Oryzias latipes: one gene and its partner. The protein of the gene in region 1 interacts with the protein of each later gene in a pairwise test. Links are inferred from orthologs where the notes say so. Each region holds a gene or a part of one and is shown on either strand. Other genes may lie near its edges.

Evidence for each region.
Region 2: the proteins of araf (region 1) and ras-related protein R-Ras interact in a two-hybrid assay, tested with the Homo sapiens proteins (2 studies listed by BioGRID). The link is inferred for Oryzias latipes from reciprocal best matches to the Homo sapiens genes ARAF and RRAS.

Annotation. Positions count from the first base shown.
Region 1 is NC_019867.2:28,415,954-28,421,878, reverse strand, and holds part of araf (serine/threonine-protein kinase A-Raf), read right to left. Parts: intron 5,593-5,925; coding exon 5,494-5,592; intron 5,404-5,493; coding exon 5,259-5,403; intron 5,181-5,258; coding exon 5,156-5,180; intron 5,073-5,155; coding exon 4,942-5,072; intron 4,392-4,941; coding exon 4,192-4,391; intron 4,089-4,191; coding exon 3,912-4,088; intron 3,808-3,911; coding exon 3,761-3,807; intron 3,603-3,760; coding exon 3,484-3,602; intron 3,336-3,483; coding exon 3,204-3,335; intron 2,971-3,203; coding exon 2,836-2,970; intron 1-2,835. UniProt on the Homo sapiens protein: Involved in the transduction of mitogenic signals from the cell membrane to the nucleus. May also regulate the TOR signaling cascade. Phosphorylates PFKFB2.
Region 2 is NC_019866.2:25,002,620-25,008,544, forward strand, and holds part of ras-related protein R-Ras, read left to right. Parts: intron 1-4,184; coding exon 4,185-4,293; intron 4,294-4,472; coding exon 4,473-4,591; intron 4,592-5,925. UniProt on the Homo sapiens protein: GTP-binding protein with GTPase activity, likely involved in the regulation of MAPK signaling pathway and thereby controlling multiple cellular processes. Regulates the organization of the actin cytoskeleton.

The DNA of each region.
Region 1 (5,925 bases):
AATCACTTGCACTTTTGTTATACACCAATAGCTGATCAAACAAAACAAAAAAGGCTGTAATCTGCATGGTAAGGTGAAAGGCTACCACGCAGGAATCCAGGGTTTAATTCCCGGAGGAGAATGAGCAATGGTACGGGGGAAATTACCATATCAACGGTGAACAATTAACATCACCCAGTGAGGGCCCTTGGGTAAGACCCTTAACGCTACCGCCTCCCGAGCGCCGTTCAGCTGCAGCTCACCGCTCCCCCAGAGGATGGGTAAAATGCGGAGAAGAATTTCCCCAGTATGGGATAAATAAAGTATCTATTATTATTCATTATGGTGTTACCATACTTCAAAGACAGGTCACTCACTTCCAAGCAGGAATGTTGTGTTAGCTGACACACTCTCTCAGAACTTAACTGCTGCTTTATTCTGCTTTTATTGTGTTTATTTTAGGATCTGAAATGCCGTTACATCAGTGCGTTGGATTTTAGGAACACCTAGTGTAAAACTGAAGATCTACATGAATCCAAAAAGTTACAGAAGTTTCAAGGGTTCAACAGCACCACCTGCTGGTGTGAACCTTGAAAAGACTGCCAGAGCCAGTTATACGAGTCACAAAACGTGACAGATTTTTTTCTTGTCTTATTTAAAAAGAAAACAAAAAAGGCTCAAACAAATTTAACCCATGAAGTATTAAGTGTCATTCTCTAGCAGAAAGCTCGTCTTGACCGAAAGCCAGGGGTGGACTTACCATTAGGCAAAGATAGGTGATTGCCCTTCAGCTAAACTTCTGTCTCTTTCAGCTTTTCCCATCAAGGGGAGCCTCAGCGAAACAACCTCTCTTTCGAGGAAGAGTCGCATGGTTAGCTTGGCAATGTTTTACGCCGGATGCCCTTCCTGACGCAACCCTCTCAATTTATCCAGGCTTGGGACCGGCACAGAAGCAGAGAAGGGAATAGGGAGCAGCCCGGATTCGAACCCTGGTGTCACGGACGGAAGGTGCCGCAAACCAGCACGAGCTAAACTGGCTCCCGATTGCCCTTCGGCTAAACACTGAATAAAAAAATGTCTAAAATAATTTCCACACCCTTTAATATTCAACTCTGTCGTAAAAAAAACTCAAATCACTGATGTGGCATAAGCCTGCTCGTGTAAAAGTGTTGTCTCCTCCCCGTCTCTCTGCAGGAATGGACTATTCCATCAACAGCAAGTTGAGGAGCAGAAAGAGACTCTTTGAAGGAGATTTACAAAAAAAGTAGTAAGATGAAGTGTAGTTTAGGGAAGAAGGAAAGAAGAAATTTGTTGCCACACTTCCAAAAGTGCAGGAAGACAAAACAGGAAAAGAACAAATTCAAAGGAATTCAAAAAAGAAGAAAAGCCATAGTGTGCGTGTCATAGACATGATCCGTTTTGTTTATGTGCTCATCACCGTATCACTATTTTATTCTTCCTACTGACTTTATCCGCCAACATTACAGAGTAAAACGTTGGAAGTAGTTCTATTGACTGGTTTGTACTGTTTATTTTTGTCTGTGGTGATGCAGAAAACGAGTTACAGCCGGAATTTGCCTTAATGCGAAGCTGCAGAGGGAAGGCAGGAACGTCAATCAAGTACAGGAAAACACCCCAGACAAACAATAGCAGTTTCTCAGTAACTCACCATAAATCACCTCAAAATCATCACAACAACTCATTACAGTTTATTGTTCAAACAAACTCCACAGAAATCCGTTTATATCATTCCTCTCTCTCCGAGTGAACCAGCGTGTTTGAGTAATGCAAGTTTTAGATGCGTCCTGATCTCCTCGCTTTAGGACTACAACTGTTGTAGTTTTACAAAAAACAAAGCAAATTCTAAATTAATTATAGCAAAAATCAGAATAAGATTATGACGCAATTGACAAAGTCACCCAAAGACGTTGCAGCTTTGTAACAGATATTGTTGTCAGGATTGACTCATGAACAATATCAATAAAACTGCTCATACTAGTCAATGTTTAATACTTCCCCAACGTTTTACTCTGTAATGTTTGTGGATAAAGTCAGTAGAAAGAGCAAACCAGGCGGGTGATTTCCTGACAAACACATGAAATGGAACATGTCTACGACACGGACATATTGTGGCTTTTCTACTTCTAATTGCAGCTCATCTTCTGGTTTCATGAACACGTGAGGTTAGAGCCCAGCGTGTTTGGCCCTTTCATGACGCTCACCAGCCCGGCCTCTGTCATGCTGATGTCATGCTGATGTCGAAGGACTTGAAGCAAAGTCTGCATTTTGCACGTTTCTGGTGCCAAATGTGTTTCAGGGTCTTTCTGTGGCCACAGCTGACACCTCTCCTTGAAAAGCCACTCATTGGTAAAGTTACAATTGCCGGCATTTTGTAGCATTTCACAACAGAAAGCTGAAAGCGCCACACACTGAACCGACGACAACAAACTGCTTTACGGCAACGTAAACTCCCATCACCAATAGAGTGAGGTTGAACTTTGGCTGCAATTTAAATTCAACTCATGTTAAACTATTTTATTTATGTTTTTTGGATCCAAAATATCAAAGTTTCATGACTTCCTAAACTTTACAGAAGATTTCATTTTTCTGTTCCAGGTTTTTCACGACAGATGTCTATCAAAACAGTCGGATTTCTGGCATTGAAGCCATTTAAAAGTTAGACCAGTGAAGAAGTTATTCGCCGGACGTTTAGCTACTTTATCATTTTTTAACAATGATTCATCCAACGGCTGCAGAGGGCCCCACGTTATGGTTCGTCCGGGACCCTTAAACTGCTAAGTTCAATAGACGTGCAGCTGAGTGTGTTTCTCCTCCAGCCACCAGTGCAGCTCTCACCTGAGGAAACAGAGGCCTCTCATCTCTCTTGAACTTCAAGCAGTCGACGATGAGCCTTTTCATGGACTTGGGTGATGTGCTGTAGAGCTTACTGAGGTCAGGAGACAAGTACCCACGTCCCACCATGAAGATGATCTGGGAAGGTGGACGGAGAAAACGTCTCAGAGAGGAAACACCATGTAGGAGCGCGAGAATGTACGCATAACCGCAAAAAAAAAAATACAGCGTTTTTATGACAATAGGTTTGGCCTAAAGGTGTGAATCTGTTCACAGAAAGGATTTAATGATAACCTCAGTAGCAAACAGTGTTTTAATCGATCGCGTGTGCCTGAAGAGCTGACAGCAGGCAGGAATGTGCAGGTTCCCACCTGGTCTCTGTTGTTTATGTTGGAGTAAGGCAGCGTTCCCGACATGAGCTCAAACAGCACCACGCCGTACGCATACACATCCGACTGGAACGTGTACGGGTTGTTGTCCTGCATTCGGATCACTTCAGGAGCCTGACAGGAACACAAGCCGTAAACAGAGGCGTTAGGCGGAACATCAGCAGACATTGTGAAGGCAATGAACCAGGACACAGAACCAAAGGTAGGATGGGTCCTGCTAAAATCCGCTGTTCATGCCTTCATGGCCGTGAAACAAGCTCACCATCCACAGAATGGATCCACTGGGCTGCTCCACCTGCTGAGAGCCGCTCCATCGAGCCTTCACCGTGGCCAAACCAAAGTCTCCTATTTTTACGGTCCAGCCCTCGTGGAGAAAAATGTCTGCAGCGGAGCTCAGGAAAAGCTTCAACAGAGCAAACGTTCGTGAGAACACAGCCGACTGGCAGCTGCTTTTCAACTCTGCTCCAGTTCCTGAGTGTTTCACATAAAAGCCCTCCATACACCCAAATGTAAAGACCCAATGAACCAGAAAGGGATACTGTTTGACTTCAGGTCTCGGTGAATGATGTTCTTGGCGTGGAGATAACTGCAGTGGGACACAAAAGGACAGAAAGTCAAAAATCTGGAACAGAAATGCATGTGCAGCTCAGACAGCTCGACCCAGCGTGTTCACGTGACAGTGGTTCTTACTCCATGCCCTGCGCCGTCTGTCGGGCCACGTCAATGCGCCTCATGGTGTCAAACTTGGTTTCCGACACGTGGAGGTGGCGGTAGAGGCTGCTGCCCTCACACCACTGCGTGATGATGGCGAAGTTGGGCTTGGTCATGTATCCCATGAACAGCAGGATGTTGACATGGCGAGTTTTCCTGCGGGGGAGAGACACGGTCAGAGGTAAAAACAACGCTCATTGTGAGGACAACGTTGATTTTCCTTCATCTGTTGTGGTGAAGGAGTGTCGGAGCTGCTCACCGTAGAACCTGCATTTCATTTTTGAAGGCCTGCAGCTGCTCAGGTGTCGGCTCCTTCACTTTCAGGATCTTGATGGCCACGTCGCCGTGCCACTTTCCCTTGTAGACTGTCCCGAAGGAGCCGGTGCCTATCCTCTTCTGGATCTGGACTTCTCGAGAGTGGACCTCCCAGTAGTAACTGGAGTCCCTGTTGCCTCGATGCTGCAGCATCACAAAGTTACTGTATTTTTCGGTGTATAAGTAGCGTTTTTAAGCTACATAGTTAGACGGATGGTGCCACTTCGAAGTGATTTAAAAATAAATAATAGCAGCAACAACCACTAGAGGACACGGTAAGTGTGTGCATCAGTATTATACCGGGTTTGGCAGAATTGTTCCAAAGTGACAAAGAGGATGAAGAATTCAACAGATTAAGTGATTTGATTAACTTGTTAGCATGTTCTATTTGATTGTCTGAATAATTGTTCAAATGTTGTGCTAATAGACTAGAGTCCTCCTGTGTTTCATGAATAAGGTTATGCTAGTAAAGCATGCTTATATTCACAATTATTGTCATCTCTTGTGTTATTTTAATTTGCCTTTCAAGATGAAATGTCTGCTCTTGTTCCCATATTTTGTTAAAATATTGTTATTTCTCCCACAAGTGCGACTTCTATGTGATTTTTTCTTCTTTATTATGCATTTTTTGCTGCTTTAGTGCAAAGTAAGTAAGCGACTGTACAACATCCTTAAGAAGCTGAAGACCACCTACCACCTTTTTCTTGTCATCAGACGAGGAAGGTTTGCGCTCTTTGTGTTCGGAGGGGGATTTCGGAGGCTTTTTCCCAGGAGAACCAAGAAAAGAGGGCGGACTGGTGGAGGGTTTGGGTGAGGGTTCGGGACCTACAAAAAACAAGAGCCAGATCACCTCAAGTAAGAACGTAGTTAAGGGAATGAAATCCCAGGGATCTATGGAGGAGTTTTACCTATTGTGTTGAACTTCAGTGCTTCCTAAAACAGGAGAGACAGTTACCATCCACATTCAGTAACCACATCAAATGAACTCAGAACATCGGCGGTCAGCCTGACCTCAATGATGCTGACACTGGCGAGGTCCACCGTGCTGACCATGTGGACGTTGGGGGTGGATGTGGAGCGGTGCCTCTGCAGAGACTGACCTTCTCCTCCTGATACGGGAAAGTGGAAGGTCGAGGGTGGAGACAGGAGGTCCATTCTGAGAGAGGCCGGCCAGTAGGAAGGTTAGAAACTCGAGCGTGCTTTTATTTCTAAATAAAGCATTTTTGGATGTATTGGGGCGGCTTACCCAGAAGGCTCTGGGGTTAAGGCTAAATTTCTCTGAGATGGAGAACTTTCTGGCAGTACTATCACAGGAAAGTCCTCTGTGCAGGAGTTGGAGTCACACCTGAGAAAGCAAGAAAGCTAACTTTATTTAAAAAAAGACAAAAAACATAAAGTGCTAAATGACACAGGTTAAAAACTGCATCAAAACAGAATAAAACATATCAAAACGTATTTTGATCAGCTGGAATTCCACAGAAGGAAAAGATCAGTTTAACAGTCAGTACAAGTGTGTGCATGTGTGTGTGTGTGTGTGGGGGGGGGGGCAGGGGCTGCATCCTGGAGGGAAACCCGCCGCAGCCAATGTGGTGCCATTACAGCGACTGAAGCAAAAACCCACGTTCCTAAGAGCAACATGGCTTTCCGCTCTTAAAGCAGCTCTGCAGCCTCTTCTCCT
Region 2 (5,925 bases), on another chromosome or scaffold:
AGTCATAGAACATCGGATGGGCGGAGACTTGTCCTCCTTCATGAACGGAACCGGAGCAGCTGTTTATTTCTCTACAGAAGCCAGGGGGTACTTCCTGTTACCCTTCCGGTTTGGATCGCTGGGAAGGAGGGGGTCACTCAGTCAAGATCTAGGCGACTAGTTGTCCTCCCGGAGAGATTTGGGGGTGGGGGCGTGTTGAGCCGGTTTGTTAGGGAGGTAAATGACCATAGGTGTGGTGAAGCCATGTCTCTGGTGGAGGAGAGTCAGTCTGAACACTGATCAGCTTTCAGTGTGAGGGGGTGGAGCCATTGACCATTGACCTTCACTGTGGTATGGGGGGGGGCTAACTTCTTCCTGAAGTTAGTCTTCAGTTGAGCGGTTGGACGTTGGCTGCCGTCAGACAGACAAACACAAAGGTTAGCGTTTATCTCCAGACGGTCCTAAGGCGGTTCAGGAAGTCCCATTCTAACTCTGAGAGGAGCTGCAAACACTGAAAGGGTCAGAGGTTCGGCTGTGTCCACAGCTGTTTAGACCAGCTGGACTTTGTCTCAGAACTTTGACCAATTCTACCCTCATGATGCCGTGTTCTCCCTCTACTGCAGCTCTAGTTGGCAGGAATCAGCTGTGTTTATTCTTTCATTTAACCAGATCACCAGTTTTTCTGCAGACAGTTTTTACAACCTGTGAGCCGTTATCTGAGGTCAGTTCTTCATCCTTGCCTTTAGGTGGAATTATTTCAGTGAGAACATGTCTACCGGACCCAAACGACATGCTTTGTCCTTTCTAGAGATGAATTCTATGATCACATGCTGAAAGGCTTTTTGCGGTCAGTCAGCCTGTAAAACCAGGGATCATCAATGGTCACCATTAGGACCCATCCACCTACGGCACCACAGCTGGCAAATGGTCGGTAGCTCTGTAAGATTGATTTATCGTGATCTGCAGGAAGTTTCTTTAGGTCACCAACATTATGAAGAATTCTAAAGGCTAAGCGGGAAGTCTGTGAAGATGGCGACGGATGAACCATCAGTCAGTTTGTGGTCTTCAGTGAGGGGCTCCAGCTCTAAAATGAGAAGGGAGGGGCCGAGAGAGTTTAGGGAAAGGCGTGTCGGCACAGGGTCAGGGGGTTACAAACGGCCCACGCTGGCTTTGATAAGGATCTGTCATCATAGTGAAAATACATCTAATGTAGAGGACAGCCCACAAGCTTTAACGAGAACATGGAGGGGCCAAAACTGTCTGTGCGTTTGAAGGCAATTGAGTTGCTGTTTACACTGGTGTGGTGGGCGTGTCACTCGGTTAGATGGTTCACCTGTTCACTCGGGTGGAATGAACACCAGTCGGCGCAGGTGAGCCTGGGATGTACACCATGTTGACCTCTTTTGACGCTTCAGGCATCGCTTTCTCATGACCTTTCTCATGACCCTTTACATAACCACAAATGCTAATAGTAACGACTGAACAAAACAGCTACGCTTAAGTAAATCATTTTCTAAACACACAGACATCTGCACGCGTCATCAACGGCGACTCGCAGCAGAACCTTTAAATGGAGCAGACATGTAGCGGCTACACAACATAAAGTCCAACAAGTGCAAGAACATGACAGCAGTTGAAAAGACTCTGTTGTGTTTGTGGTTTCAAAGCGAGTTCAGACCGACGAGTTTCGAGTGAGGATGTGAAAAGAGCGGGAGATGGTTCATCTCTGGGGTGTGAGGGAAGTGAGTCCCTGAGCGAATAGAGGAAGAGGATCTAATGAGGCTGAATGAAGCCAGTTCAGGTCAGTAGGATCTGAAAGGCCCAGAGTGAAAGCAAAAGCTCTTTATCTGTTTGGTTTACAAGCATCACAGTGACACAAATGCAAATTGGAAGAGAGATCAGAGGTCAAAGACAACCAAAGAATGTAAATCGGAGACGAGCTTAGTGACCCGAATGTCTCTTTCATACCGAGACCCAGTGGCTTCTGCGAGGAGGAGGTCCTCAGCCAGATCCACGGAGCTCAGGCTCTTCAGGTTCTCACCAGAGGAAAAACGGGCTGTGAGTGGGACCCTGGCTCAGCCTGATCCAGATGATTCCAGTAAAGGTGAAGGGGAAAAGGGAGGATTTGAAACGGAGACAAAGAAATCAACCACTGAGCTGTGGAGAGATGCCAGTCAAGATGGTCACCAACACGTCAAAGACCACCAACATGTGGCCTTGGGGGCCTTATATCTGAAGGAACAGCTGGTAGATTGGAATGAAACGCCATCCGTTTGGTTGATCTTTTTCAGATGGGAGTCTGACCTGAAGACTGGAAGAGTCTGCCTTTAAGAGGCAGACATTGAAAGGAGGTGAAGGATCTGTTGTGAAAGGGAACCGTGGATGCAGGTCTGACTGAGACTTTAGCAGCGGGACATCACTTGGGCGGGGTGAACAGTTCTCCTTTTTAGACCGGGACCCAGCTGTAGGTCTGTCTGGACCAGCAGGCAGGTCCTGAATAATGACATCTGTCACACTGTTGGTTCTTTTGACCGTTTGAGGCAGAAAGGCCTGATGACGCGTTTCCGTTACAGGTTGTGTGTAAACGTGTGTGTTTCTGGTTCAGATCCTCAAACATTAGGTCACTGGAATGATGATCCGGAGCTGACAAACCTTTAAAATGCTTTTCATCATGAAAGTGTGAACAGAAAATAAACCCCCCCACTCCAATGAAAGTCATGTTTTTAGCATGTTCTTGTTTTACATACATAAAAGATTACACAGCATTTCTGAGGAATTCTTTATTCAAAACAGGATGAATCAGGAGCTGATTTAAAAATAAAAAGCCGTTTTGTGACACAGCATGTGCAAGGGGCGGGGCCAAAGTCCCATTTCTGATGAACTCCTGCCACGCGGCACAAACTATGTCCCAGAAAATGACAGGTCCTAATCATCGTTAACATATCACCAAAAACAGATGATCAGAGTGGGACCTGAAGGACTGGATATGAAATGGGCGATAACTCGTCACAGCGAAAGAAAAGAGGAAGTTCCTCATTCCTCCTTCTGCAGTGTGATGGTTCTCATAGAAAGGCTGTATAACAGCTGCCCTTTTGCCCTTCCTGTTAACGTGAACTGCTTCCTGGAGTCTCTGCTGCTGCCTCATCACATGCCTGAGCAGAAAACACCTGTCAGATCTGGCTGTCCTCTTCCAGCCAGGCTGTCAGGCTGTCTGATGGGAAAGATGGGGACGGGGGTCATGGGGTCATGCAATAACAAAAGCATGAGGTCGTCTGCATGGACATGGTGTTCCTCAGGGTAGAAACACTCTGACGGTGAAAGGAGGCTGGTCTTGATCATCGACTGTAAGGGAACTGGACTGAACGAGTGTGACATCATCCATAGAAAATGGCTTACACAAGTCAGTACGGACGCCGCCGTGTTGGAGTCAGATGACATCACTGAGCAGTGATTGGTCAGAGTAGGGCTGAGTCATCATTTCTATGGCAACCACGCTGGCCAATCCTAAGTGAGCTCATTGTAAGGCCACATCCCTACCACTTGAAATCGGGCTCGTCCAGCATTTTGAACGTTGGACGTGGGGGACAGCAGGCTCCACCTACTTTTACTGAGTCATCTGATTGGTCCGATTGTAACTTGAACTAAAAAATAAATCATTCAAAAGGAGGATCATCAAGAAGGTACCAGATCCAGAACGGTTCTTCTGACCAATAGACCGACTGACTCACAGCTGTTTGTTTCGCTATAGACGTCTGTGGGATTTTGACTTCTTGGAGACACTTCCTGTTTGGAACGCCGGGGGGGGGGTCAGAATGACTCCTAAAATGATGCCATCCATTATAAAACCGGATGGTTTCTGTGCCGGCATCATCCTGTTAGGAACTACCAGCAGCTGATACTGATGACCAACTCTGGGCTTTTGAAGTATTACAGAAACTACTGATCAGATATTGATTAATATGGTCAATCAACCAAAACCTTTGATCATTTCTAATTTAGTAGAAGCTAATTTGGATGCATTTAAGTGTGCTGGGACAGTCATTTCTAAAGTTTCCATCAGGGAATCATGACATGGATACAGCCGTGAAAAGGAAACCCAGCTTCTCCTGTGATCCCAGAGTGGATTTTCCAGCTCATCGCTGAGTATCATGGCTATCTGCATCTGTAGAATTTGAAGCCACATTTACACGCTGTTCTTTCCACAGTTATCATGAGGTCCAGAAGTTTCACACCCAGATCCTGAGAGTGAAGGACCGAGACGACTTCCCCATGCTCCTGGTGGGAAACAAGGCCGACCTGGAGCAGCAACGAGTGGTAAGGGAGTTTCTGTCTGCCCCTCTGGAGACACGTAGAATCCAGACACCCCCACTCCAGAGCCAAAGTCCAGTCAGAAAAGAGCCTCTTCTAGAAATGACTGATGGCCAGACCTCTGTTGTGTGGCACACAGAAACGAGCGATGAACACCAGAACATGCTGATCTTGTTTGTGTGCAGATCTCCAGTGAGGACGCCCAGGCCTTTGCCAGAGAGAACAGGATCCACTATATGGAGGCTTCAGCCAAGAACCGCTACAACGTGGACGAAGTCTTCCTGAAGCTGGTGCACATCATCAGGTGGAGCCGCACTCTCATGAACTGAGGTCTTTCTTATTGCTTTGGTTCAGTTTGTTCATAAAGAGCCAGTTGATTAACACAAGGCCAGAAAAATCACACCAAGTGGTGTGATTGCAGACGGTATGATCCAGTTTAGTCCAGATGATTCCAATCCTGAGATTACCAGACGATCTACGGATTACATGGAAGCATTTAGGGTGGAAGCAAAGGACGGCAGTAGAGAGGAACACTCCCCCCACCGCGATGTTGGAAAGGAGGAAGAATCCAACTTACATCTGAGTCACTGATGTCAAAGAAAACGTAGGTGAAGACCCCTTGAGGAGACTGCGTGGGGGGCGGAGTTTCAGGGAAACTGGGACTGTACGGCCCGGATTCAGACCAGACCCTCATTTGACGCCCCGCAGCATCATTTCAGAGTCATGGAGACATTCCTGGATCTTTCTGGCTGCCTTCCAGAAGCTTCCATGGAATGTGAAGTCAAGCAAAAATCTGGAAAAAATCCAATGTCAACACTTTGCATGGAAAATACCAAATGATCGGAATTATTTAGAGATCTGAATGAACACGAGGAGGCAGCATTTGTCTGATCCCAGTCCCAGTTTTAGACGGGATTCAGCCCGGACACGTTTGGTTCGCTTAGAGTGAGCCAGAGTTTGTTTCCCCCGATAATCTGGAACAAATGTCCACCCAAGTGGACCAGGAACCGCTCTCTGACCCATCTCTGGAGGTGGTCTGGGTTAGTTTCCTATCGGACGGAGGTTCGCTTCGCTCTGAGATTCCTCAGTCTGAATACAATCCGTCCTCGGAGCGGAACAACCGGACCGAACGGCCACCGTAGTCGACGTGAACGGAGCAGGAATGAAGGAACAGACGAATCCAAAGCAACGATGGCCGTTCTATCAAACAGAAAAAAAGAGTCCAACTGTTTCTTAGAACGTTTGTTTCAACGCCGCTGAAAACGCTTCTAACACACTTTCTGTGTGTCGTTACGCGTCCAACAGGCTGCTGTGACGTCATCCTAAAGGTTACCTTGTAGTTCCTGAACAGAATTCTCTAAAAACAAAGACGTGACACCACAACCATGAGACACAGCAACTCAGTGAAATGTGGGCGGATGAATTCAGGCTCACTAAAACCTCTGTTAACGTGATCCACATCACGTCTCACTCTCAGCGTTCCTAATTAGCCGCCGTCTCCTCAGTAACCGCCGTGCAGCACGCCTCCACCAGACCAAAGCAGCAGGGAAAAGTGTTGGGCCGGGCAGGCTGGTCAGCCAAATCTAAAGTTTGAATGATCTGCAGAGAGCAGGACTTTCATCGTTTCCGTCTTTAGTT